2 linked regions of the Saccharomyces cerevisiae S288C genome follow. The gene in region 1 interacts genetically with each later gene. Each region holds a gene or a part of one and is shown on either strand. Other genes may lie near its edges.

Region 1 (5,824 bases):
AGTGCTGTTATCCTCCACTGTCTTCAAACACATTTCTTCAACAAAGTCATCGTCATCATCTTTTTTTTTTTTTTTTCATCGAGTATTTTTTCACACGAACGGCACAAGTAGCCTTCAACTGTAATAAACAAAAGCAGATAGGGAGGAAAAGAAGTGAGTTTAGGAAAGAAAGCATAACATGGAGAACCCTCATGAACAAGTGCAGGCTAACATACTTTCGCGAATAATTGGTAATGTCAAAAGGCTCAATGAGAGCGTGGCAATTCTTAACCAGGAGCTTGTGACCATTAATAATCGGAACAAAAATCTAGAAATCATGGGCGCAATTTGTGATAACTACCATAGTAGCGTCCAATTCAACCTGGAAGCGACCAATAACAAGAAGCCACCTCTTTAATTCACCAATTTTCTATATACGCATACTCATATACACATATATATATGCTATACCGTTTCTAATATATTCATTTAAGATCACTGTTTCCTGCGAAAAGGAGAAAAAAATAACAGCACATCGCTTAACCTATTCCTGTGCTTCTGGAAAGGACGCAGCCTGCAAGAAACAGTCAACATCAATGTCAGATCCATTTGCACATTTACTGACTTCTTTGAAGAATAAGGACTCTGCATCTGCATCCAAGGAAACAACTCCTCAGAGCAGCAATTCGCCTTCCATTACTGGTTCCGCTGTTGCAGATGTTGCAAGGACGGATAAAAGCCCCAATGATAGTCTGCATTCAATTTCAGCTCCTCCGCTGATACCGTCACCGAAGGTAGATTTTTCTGCACCTCCTTTGGTCCCAACTAATAGCACCACTAAATCTAATACTGCCAACAACACACCTCCCTCGGCTCTTGCCAATACCGATGACGACTTCAATCAACTATTTGGTATGGGCACAGTAACTACAACGGATACGATCCAAAAACCGGATGAGGATTACTATGGAAGCAAGGAAGACCACCTTTACAATGGTGATGACGCCTTAGTTGATGAAGTTAAGGATATGGAAATAGCAAGATTGATGTCTCTAGGTTTATCAATTGAAGAAGCCACTGAGTTTTACGAAAATGACGTAACTTATGAAAGATATTTGGAGATTTTAAAGTCAAAGCAAAAGGAGCGCAACGATCTAGCTATAAGAAAGAAAGAAAGTGGTATAAAAATGGAAAAGTCAGGATTATCCAACATTGTTGGTACAGATAGCAATAATTTATTCAGCATGGCCACTGATTTTTTCAATAAGGGTAAGAAACTGGTAGACCAATGGACCTCCTTCCCACCTGAGGCAAATGATAGACTGAATAATTACTCAAAAACTCATGATAAGGTTGAGGATTATGATTTGCCTCAAGTAAACGACTCACCCAATAGAATTTTGTTTGAAGATAATGAAGTCGTAGAGAACTTACCACCTGCCGATAATCCGGATCAAGATCTTTTAACTGATTTCGAAACAAAGATTGATATAACAAAGAGGACAGCGCCTGATGTCTCCCACTCCTCCTCACCGACTTCTGGTATACTAATTGAAGAAAATTCGCGAAGAAATGAGCCCCTGATAGAGGATAGTCTTCTCGACTTTTCAGAAGGAAATCTCACCAATAGTAAAAGCAATGAAGATAGCACCCTCTTCAATGAAAACAGCAACACTGACTCTACAATACCCATCTCAGATATTGAATTATCGGGGTATAACGAATTTAAGGCGAAAGGTACTAGTTTGTTCAAGAACGGGGATTATATTAACTCATTACAAGAATATGAAAAGTCTTTAAATACATTGCCTTTAAATCATCCATTGAGGATCATTGCATTATCAAACATTATTGCCTCGCAACTGAAAATCGGTGAGTACTCTAAGTCCATAGAAAACTCCAGCATGGCTTTGGAATTATTCCCATCAAGCAAAGCTAAGTGGAAGAATAAAATCTCAAATAGTGACCCTGAAAGATCATTTAACGACATCTGGCCAAAGATTATGATTAGGCGTGCTGAGTCTTTTGAACATTTAGAAAGTTTCAAAAAAGCACTAGAAACATACCAAGAGCTGATTAAGAAGAATTTTTTTGATGATAAAATCATGCAGGGAAAAAGAAGATGCCAAGACTTTATTAATCCTCCCCCTGTTAAAAAATCCATGCCCGTTAAGAAGAAGACAACGACAACCTCGCCTGCAACAAAAAAACAGAACTTAACCGCTTCTTCTTCAAATTCTCCAATTTCTGTTGATAGCACTTCAGAAATAAAAAAACGGGAGCTAGAAAACGCTAAACTGGCGCTATATGATAAAGTATTTGAGAAAATTAGCTCCTGGAAGGATGGCAAAGACGATGACATTCGTCATCTGTTAGCAAATTTATCCAGCTTACTAACATGGTGCAATTGGAAGGATGTCTCTATGCAAGATTTGGTTATGCCTAAGAGGGTCAAAATTACATACATGAAAGCTGTAGCCAAGACACATCCTGATAAGATACCAGAGTCCTTGTCCCTGGAAAATAAGATGATTGCAGAGAATATTTTCAGTACTTTAAGTATTGCTTGGGATAAGTTCAAACTGCAGAATGACATTAACTGATTTCCCTTGTGTGCCTGCTTCGCTCAGTTGTTTTTGATATGTACTTTATACAAATATATATAGGAAAACAAATTCTTCAAAGCGCGTTAGGAAAAAGTATGGAAAGGCTTAGTTTCATTTATTGACTTACAAGTGGCACCCAATTTGATTAATATGAAAAACAATCTGCAAAAAAAAAAAAAAAATTCAAAATATCACAATGTTAAAACACAATAGAAATAGGGCATTGTATTAAAACCACTGAACGACTAAAAATTGAAAAAGATTATGATACGTCAGCTCAATTATTGGTCAAGGAAGGCGTATCTCATTTACCCCTTTCAAGTTTTTGTAGGCGCATTATTATCAATAGTAGTATCTTCAGAAACATTAAACCATCAAAAAGAGACATGCGCTCTATTGAAATCGTCCAATATTTTCAATGTTATTTTTGCATACAAAGCGAACCAACTGTGGCCATTTTTATTCTTTAGTTTGGCTTTTCTGCAAATATACTTCCACTATCTAGCAAGAATGGATATATTGCCTTTACCAATATCAAGTACCGAAACTAGCTCTTCCTATTTAACATATACTAACCATTGGCCTCTGCTCAAAAATAGAATAATCAGTATTATGATCACTCAATATGCTTGCAAGTTCGTTCTAAAATATCTATTATTGTTTTTGAATTTCCAATTTATCGATCATGTTTTCATTTGGACAGGGGGAGAATGCAGTTCTGGTAGTAAAACGACATCAGCTGAAAAGTGCCGTCTAGAAAATGGGAAATGGGATGGTGGGTTTGACATTAGTGGACACTTCTGCTTTCTTGTGAGTATAAGCATGATTCTTTGGATGGAACTTCACTTATTCAGTAGATTTGTTCAAGCTGAAGATATGTTTTGGGTTGTGAATAAGTGGGTACGAGCTTGCCTTGCCATTGTTTGCGCTGTCCTAGTAATTTGGATATGTATTCTCTGGGTTACCGCTATTTATTATCATACTATCTTGGAAAAAGTGTTAGGTTGCCTTATGGGTTTCATATGCCCTGTTTTCATATACCACATTCTACCCAAAATTGGGATACTACACAATTACTTATATCTATGATAAACAGAGAAAATTAGCTCTATCCTCTTTCTATAAAGTATATTTTTGTTAACATTCACTTGAATATTGTCGCGAAAGAATGGTTTAATTTTAATTCCAAATCATCCAAAGAACCGAGCAATGCAATTTCCCATTTACTTTTATTATTTTGACTAAAATCATGAATATCGTCCAATATTGAACATGAAACTATTTCATTTTGTTTTACAAACAACTCGACTTTAATATCCTTCACAAAAAACGAAACCATTGAAGATTCTAAATCTAAATCTAAGTCGTGGATTATCTTCTTAGCTTCTAAGTCCTTAAAAATCTGTCGTCTTTTCTGTACTTCCACAAGTTGCAGGAAGACTCTTTTAGCAAATAAATAGGCGTCATCATGAGATATCACTAGTCCCCCATTGGTGTCATCAAATATACCTTGGACATCAATGAAACTCGGGATTGTATGCTTGAACAGGAACCAACTATTCGATTTGATCCTCTTTTTCAACAATACATAGTGAGGTTTTTCAAATTGGGATGTCCGTTCGCTGAAGACTTCCAGTCGTATTCCCAGCATTTCTCTATCAACAAATATTTCACCGCTAGCATCTTTTATCTTAAGGTCAATAGGGTCCACAAGAGGGAAAAATGTTATACCAAACATTCTATAAACATTTTCCAGGACAATATAATCTTCCAACTCACTTCTATCACTTGTACTAATATCGTCTATTTTTAGTTTTCGCTTTCTTTTTGAAGGTGACGTTAGAATGTCTGTATCCAATAAATCTGCCACCCCAGGATCAAACATTTGATGCTGAACCATTGGCTGGGTCTTTAAAACCCATTCTTGTTCTGGTAAAATTTCCTCATTCTCCAGCTTAGCTCTTTTCTTTGGTTCATACGGTATTGGCGTTGCTGGTATATCCGCTTGCGCCCTTGATATGTCCTTGTCATCTGTCTCTTCCAATTCTGGATGCTCATTAAATAAAAAATTATTCAACTGTGGGAATTGATCGAATAGATCTTCAAATTCTTGTACTATAGGATTAGCGCTCTCCTCATTTTTTCTTTTATCTTTTATCTTCGCTTTGAGCTTCTCACGACTTTCTTCTAATGAATTGACTGTGAAGATTCTACTATGTTAGTGTTCAACTTAATCATTTTTTTAAAAGAAAGAAAATTGTTACAGCCTCAAAATCACATACTTTCACTGAGTAAAGATTCAATGTCCTGCTGTAAATCATCGATTCTACTCATTGCCAGGAGCGTTACTGATAGTTTGAAAGAATTGCTCAAGTAAAGAAATCACATTTTCCCCTCATTATCCATATGGCTTTTGTTTGTTTTTTCTTCAGTTTTGAAATATGCGCGTTTTCTTACCATCATTATAAACTTAGGGAAGATCTATCATAGAATTGGTCGGCCATTACTGGCGATTAGTAAAACAATACATAAAGTTTGCATATTCAATGCGATAAAAATTTAAGACGGCCCAGGTATCGAATCCATGATATAGTGGTTCTTTTATGTATTAGGCTACTATTTATTTAATAACTTCGCATCTATCAAAAGAAAAGACTGACTGTTCACACAATCATATCAATTTGATAACTGCTAATTACTTCCAGCTTAGGTCCCGCCTCTTTACTTTTCCTTTCAATCGCCATCAAAGAGGCAACATAAGAAACCTTTGAAACTGGGACAGCGTATCCTAATAATGCAGATCCTGGCATCCTATATATACTGGAAGCAATTATTTCGCTTAACTTTGTTCTTAAGCCAATCCTTCTGGCCTCACTGATATATTTCTTTTTATAAACTAAAAGATAGTGAGGATAATAAAAAATTTTTTCCAAGAAAGTGGAGTTTTCTTTACCCAATTCAACGTTTATAGGATTTCCGTGCTGTCCACACATCGGACCTGGCCTCAAAATAACTAGCTCCTTTAGCTTATTTGGCAAAGCTTCATCCAAGTCATTTTCTAATTTAGCTTTTATTCTAAAATACTCGAAAGTTTTACTAAGAAAATCATTATTAAAGGCAGTTGTAACCACCAACCTTTTGTTAGTTGTATTCGTGAATTCTTGTGCTAAATTAAAAGGTAAGTAATAGTCAGCAAAGGAACTTGGTACCTGAGTTCTCCGCACTCTAGCTGAGGTGGA
Region 2 (5,176 bases), on another chromosome or scaffold:
TTCCAAATCGGATAACTTAAAACAATCCCCATTCGCTATTACAGGCACATTTTTGTCGCTGATGTTCTCGATGATATATTTTATCGCATCCAGGTTAGCCGGCTGCGATGACCTAGTTCTACGTGTTCGGCCATGAATCGTAATCCAATCTACCCCAGCATCACATAGCTTTCTACATAACTCCACCGTCTCGTCCAATGCCTCATGTATTCTTATTTTCGTTTCAATTCTTAGTTTGTCGCCATACTTATCTTTCACAGCATGGACCATACTGCATAACAAATCTGAATTGTATATCAGAGCGCAACCTATGCCCTCTCGGATTTGTTCCTTTATAGGACAACCACAGTTAATACCAATACCATCACAGTATGGGGCAACCATTTCCACAAATTTTAGTAAATCAGCCACGTTATTTACACCTACTTGGACGATTAGCGGGGTGTCCTCATTATTTGTAGAAAGGTCTGAGATTCTTGCATGCTCATTACGGACATATTCTCTTGCCAAAATCATGGGGGAGTAAACTATATCAACGTTATATTCTCGGCACAACTGACGGAATGGTAACTTGGAATACCGAACCATTGGGCCTGCAATGGTCACGGGCCGACCATGTGTCTTTTGCCTCGTCTTTATTATATGCAGTGGATCTGTTTCTTCAGTAATAAGCTTCGGCTTCGGTATCAGAACATCACCGGATGGAATATGCATTGTGTGCATTTTCTTTAGAATCTTTATTCTGCATATGAATTATAACTTTGAAGAATCCATCTCTTATTTTCATTTTGAGTTTTTTCGCTGATCATCTTTTTTTTATTCAGGGCGAAGAAGCAGAATGCTGGAAGAGCCTACTTACTTAGAAAATAACAGCTAGGTTTTAAAATTATATAGCGAGAAGTACAATTCTATCAGCTATGTTTCTTGGATTTTTCCTGACCCTTTCTAACAAAAATGAATGCAGTGCAACCTGTGATAAAAAAAAGTACACATATTATGCAATGGAAAATTGAAATGCCAATAATATAAGATAAAAATCTTTTTCGAAGCATCAAGTTTCTTAATCCCTGCTCAAAATTCATCCTAAACTTAATCCCACTTTCTGGATGTATTATTAGATTTCTTTGGGCAATCTCCGTTTTCAAGAACACCGAGATTGTTTCATATGAAGACTCTAACGATATTTTGTCCTCTATTCTTATTGTATTTAGCCATTCTTCATCGTAAACGTCTAGACGTGATGGGCCTAGTTGTTCGATCTCCTGAGGCGACATGGAATCCGTCAGTGCGAGGCAGACAATAGGTCTAGAAGTGTGAAAGATTTTTTCATCTTTGCTGTTACTTCCTCCAGGAGCACCCAATAGCGGGCCTGGACCTCTGTAAACATCAATTAACAAATTGTCTAAATTTAAATGGTCAGTTTTGCTCTGGCAATAAAGCTGTAGGTTTAGATCGAGCTTGTATTCCATGTTGTCACGCATGGGGATTAACTGTGATAAGCCATTGTCTATTGTTTGCGGCAGATCTGTACCTACCGGAATGCTTTTAATAGATTGGAAGAATTTTGTACCAAATTGTACGCCATTTAAAATGTTGAACGTATTAAGGGGGACTACGTTAGAGGAATCGGCAGGTAATAGTCTTAGGTAAAAATCGTGATATATTAAGATCGATAAAGGAAGAATGATTAGCAATTGTATCAGAAATGCAACAACAATATATGAACTCCATTGTAAAAACTGTAATGGACGGGATACATTGATTTTCATCCTTCCTATTCACTTTATCTTATTTTCTTGAAACCTTGGATTCACATTTTGATAATTTGCCGTAAGCTGTCTCTATTTTTCTGTCTTACGCGCATTTATATTTTTAATAACCTTACGTTGAGATTTTCAAATTATACACATAGTAGCAACTAATGATGAGGTAGTTATACTTAACTTTCAAAAGAGCGACTCTAGTATTAGATGAACAATTAGGTTGCTTTATATGGATGACGAAAAGTCTTATTTACAAAATAACTCTCAATAAATGTTTCTTGACCATATGGCTTGGTGTTGTCAACTTTCTAGATAATACTTATCAGCGTGATTGGATTGTAGGTTTGGGAGGAAGGTTGCTTTTTAAGTTACTTATAGTATATTATTATTGATATTGAATTAATTTACTTTCATAAGTGTATAAAATAAAAGTTCAACATTACTAACAAAACTATAATATTTTCTCAACCAATTATTAACCTGTGATAGTTGCGCTGTAATTCCAGTCTAATTAATATGCTTCGTAAGATTAATTGTAATATTTAAGTAATCTTTTAATGGTTCAATAAGATAGTTTCTGCCTAGAAAAACGATCCGACAACGTGCATGGTAATTCACTTACAAATACACAGAATTGCAGATAAAAAACGGAACCTTTTATTTAAGATTTAGAGCATGAATAAGAAGAATTAAAGTTTCTTTTCTTAGAATAAAAATAGTTTTTAATACATCAGAACAGAAGGAAGTAAGTAAAGCCAAAATATATATAGTAAAAACACAGTAGTAAAAAATGAATAGTAAAAAACACACAACAATAATACTAAAAGGAGAGACCAGACAGAGCGCAAATCGTTTTCATGACGGAGTATTTAGAGGAAATGATGACAAAACAAGAAAATGTTATTCTATTATAAGTTCATTTTTCAATAATAGATATGCTTTTTATTTTTTGAAATTAATGGTAACAGTCGAAGAGCACAGCTTTATCATGCATTTTCGTTCAAAGATGATCACATAAATTGCGCCCAACAACAAGAGAAAGAGCGGCCGCTCGATGCATGAGTCGGTAACGGTAGAATTAGTATCTAAATAGCATACTAAATCAATTCAGTAAAGAAACAATTATATCTTAGTGAGTGGAGTGGCCCCTGTGATATTTTAAACCGTTCAAGTTCTTATATCTCTTACCACAAACTTCACAACGGTATGGTTTATCCTTTGCAGAGCCCATTCCATCACCAAAAGAATCTGTCGAATCTGGATCTATTACGCTAAATGTACCGTCAGGGTTTTCATGTAATTTTTGATTCTGATGTCCGTGCAACCTATGGTACTTCAAACCGTTTTGGTTTTTATAAGTCTTTTCACAACCAATAACTGGACACTTAAAGGGTTTTTGTTCCTCATGATCCATTACATAGAGCCTTCTCGCAGGATCGTCTATATAAGCTTGCTGAGGCATCTTGTAATTGTTGTTATGAACTGATTTTCCATTGGAACTGGAGCCATTTTCTGTGTCATCGTCATCGTCATCGTCATCGTCATCATCAACATCATCGTCATCATCAATGTCATCAATGTCTTGATCCTCGACCATGTTTTGAGAAGATTTTGCGTGTACGGAAGAATGAAAAGTATTGTAGTTGTGAGAACCTGTAGTTGGATTTACGACAGAGTTCATGGAATTGTGGTTACTAGGGCCCAAAATATCATCATCCATAAAACTTAAATCTATATCTTGGACAAGTACCAGAGGTGATAAATCGGTTTGATGAGGATCAATTTTTCTTGATTGATGTTGAATAGGATTCCTGGACGTTTTGTTCAAGGAATAGTTATTAAAAGTATGTGGACGATTCACCATGGCGTTTTTACTACCCATGTTAATATTAGAATTGTGTGAGGTATTATTATTGATATTGATACCACTATTATTGTTACTGTTAATTTGTTTATTGTGCGGAACGTGTCTTGATGGAGAATTGCTCGTTCTTAAAAACACATCATTCGTTGAAACGGCATCGACTAGATTACCATTCAGATGTAGTTGTTGAGAGTGATTAGCCATAGATAAGCCCGAGTTGGGGGCACCCGTTATAGATATCACATTTGGATTTGCAGTTGTGGACGACGCAGTTGCTGAACCCATTACACTCGGTGTGGGTACAGCCCCTGATGTATGATTTACAGAATTCGATTGCAACTGTTGTTGTATTATATTCTGCTGATGGTGAGGATGCTGAGATTGTCGTATTGTGGAGTTGGAATCCATGTTGCTCTGAAGATTGGCATGCATATTATTAATGGAGGTGTTATTAGTTGCATTGCTGCTATGAGCCTGCATAGTATTAGTCTTATGACCTGCATTTTTTGTATTAGCGGCCATGTTATTCTGCAGGTTATAGTTGGCAGAAGAGGTATTATTTGTCATACGAACTGATGAACTAGTGTTACCAGCAGAGTTCATCGGTATTTGTGACATATTGGTAGTGTTAGGAGACGTGGATATATGAGCTTCTTCGTAATGTCTCAGCAAATCATGCAAACCTGGTAAGGAAAGACCACAGCATGAATAATCTTTACAATATTGCTTTTCTAGATTTGGCAGATAAGCAGTGTAGGCTATCTGAGGAGAAATAGAATACCCTCTATGGTAAGGCGGATTACTAACAGAGGGTCTCTTAGTTGGTTGTTGAATCTGCAAAGTATTAGTGGCAGTAGTGGTTGCAGAAGCGGCAGCGGAGGCAGCACCGTTTGCTGATGCAGGTACAATACTATTTCTACGGCTAATAATTTCATCTCTTAACCAAGAACCAACACTAATGGATCCCCATGAAACACCACCCATCCCTTGAGAATGGGCTATTGATTCTCTCCGTAACTTGGCAATGTCCTGTGGAGTTAGTAGCGTTTGGTCCATTATATTTGGAGAGTACAAATGAACATTATTTGTATTATTCATGATATTTTTTTGGTGAATATTATTGACGCCGTTAAAATCTGTGTTTTTTCCATTAGAAGAATCCGAATTGTTATTTATCAAAATGGAAGGAGTATTCTGGTTCGAATCAATATCAATATTAAAGTTTGATGACGAATTTATAGATGCATGTGCCGATGTAGCCGTCGTAGTAGTACTAGTAGCCATATTGCTTGCCATAGTCATTGTTGTAAAATCCATACTCAGATAAGCTTTTCCTGTTTCGAAGAAAAATAAAAATACTGAATATGAATATGTCTTTTAATAACAATAAATTTGAAAACGCCTTACAAGTGAAATCTTGAGGTGATTAATAGTAGGTGAATCCAGAGAAAGTGTTTCGAGGATATAATATGGTATCAGAAAGCCAAAAGACGACCGGTATATTATAAACTTAGTATGAATGTATCGTGGCGCTTTTTTCTCCTAGCTT

What was found. A genetic interaction does not mean that the proteins touch.
Region 2: of YFT2 (region 1) and SEI1, changing one enhances a phenotype caused by changing the other (phenotypic enhancement), as found in Saccharomyces cerevisiae (one study listed by BioGRID).

What each region holds. Positions count from the first base shown.
Region 1 is NC_001136.10:1,102,853-1,108,676, reverse strand, and holds YFT2 (Yft2p), read left to right. Parts: upstream 1-2,849; coding exon 2,850-3,674; downstream 3,675-5,824. Other genes in the region: DAD4 (Dad4p), read left to right, coding at 179-397; auxilin-like protein SWA2, read left to right, coding at 576-2,582; MCM21 (Mcm21p), read right to left, coding at 3,730-4,784, 4,868-4,919; HIM1 (Him1p), read right to left, coding at 5,249-5,824. UniProt on the Saccharomyces cerevisiae protein: Fatty acyl-coenzyme A (CoA) diphosphatase that hydrolyzes fatty acyl-CoA to yield acyl-4'-phosphopantetheine and adenosine 3',5'-bisphosphate. Preferentially hydrolyzes unsaturated long-chain acyl-CoA substrates in the endoplasmic reticulum (ER) lumen.
Region 2 is NC_001144.5:925,336-930,511, reverse strand, and holds SEI1 (seipin), read right to left. Parts: upstream 1,770-5,176; coding exon 912-1,769; downstream 1-911. Other genes in the region: DUS4 (tRNA dihydrouridine synthase), read right to left, coding at 1-723; zinc-coordinating transcription factor SFP1, read right to left, coding at 2,893-4,944. UniProt on the Saccharomyces cerevisiae protein: Involved in lipid metabolism and lipid droplet (LD) morphology, number, and size. Facilitates initiation of LD formation, and ensures that vectorial budding of LDs from the ER is directed towards the cytoplasm.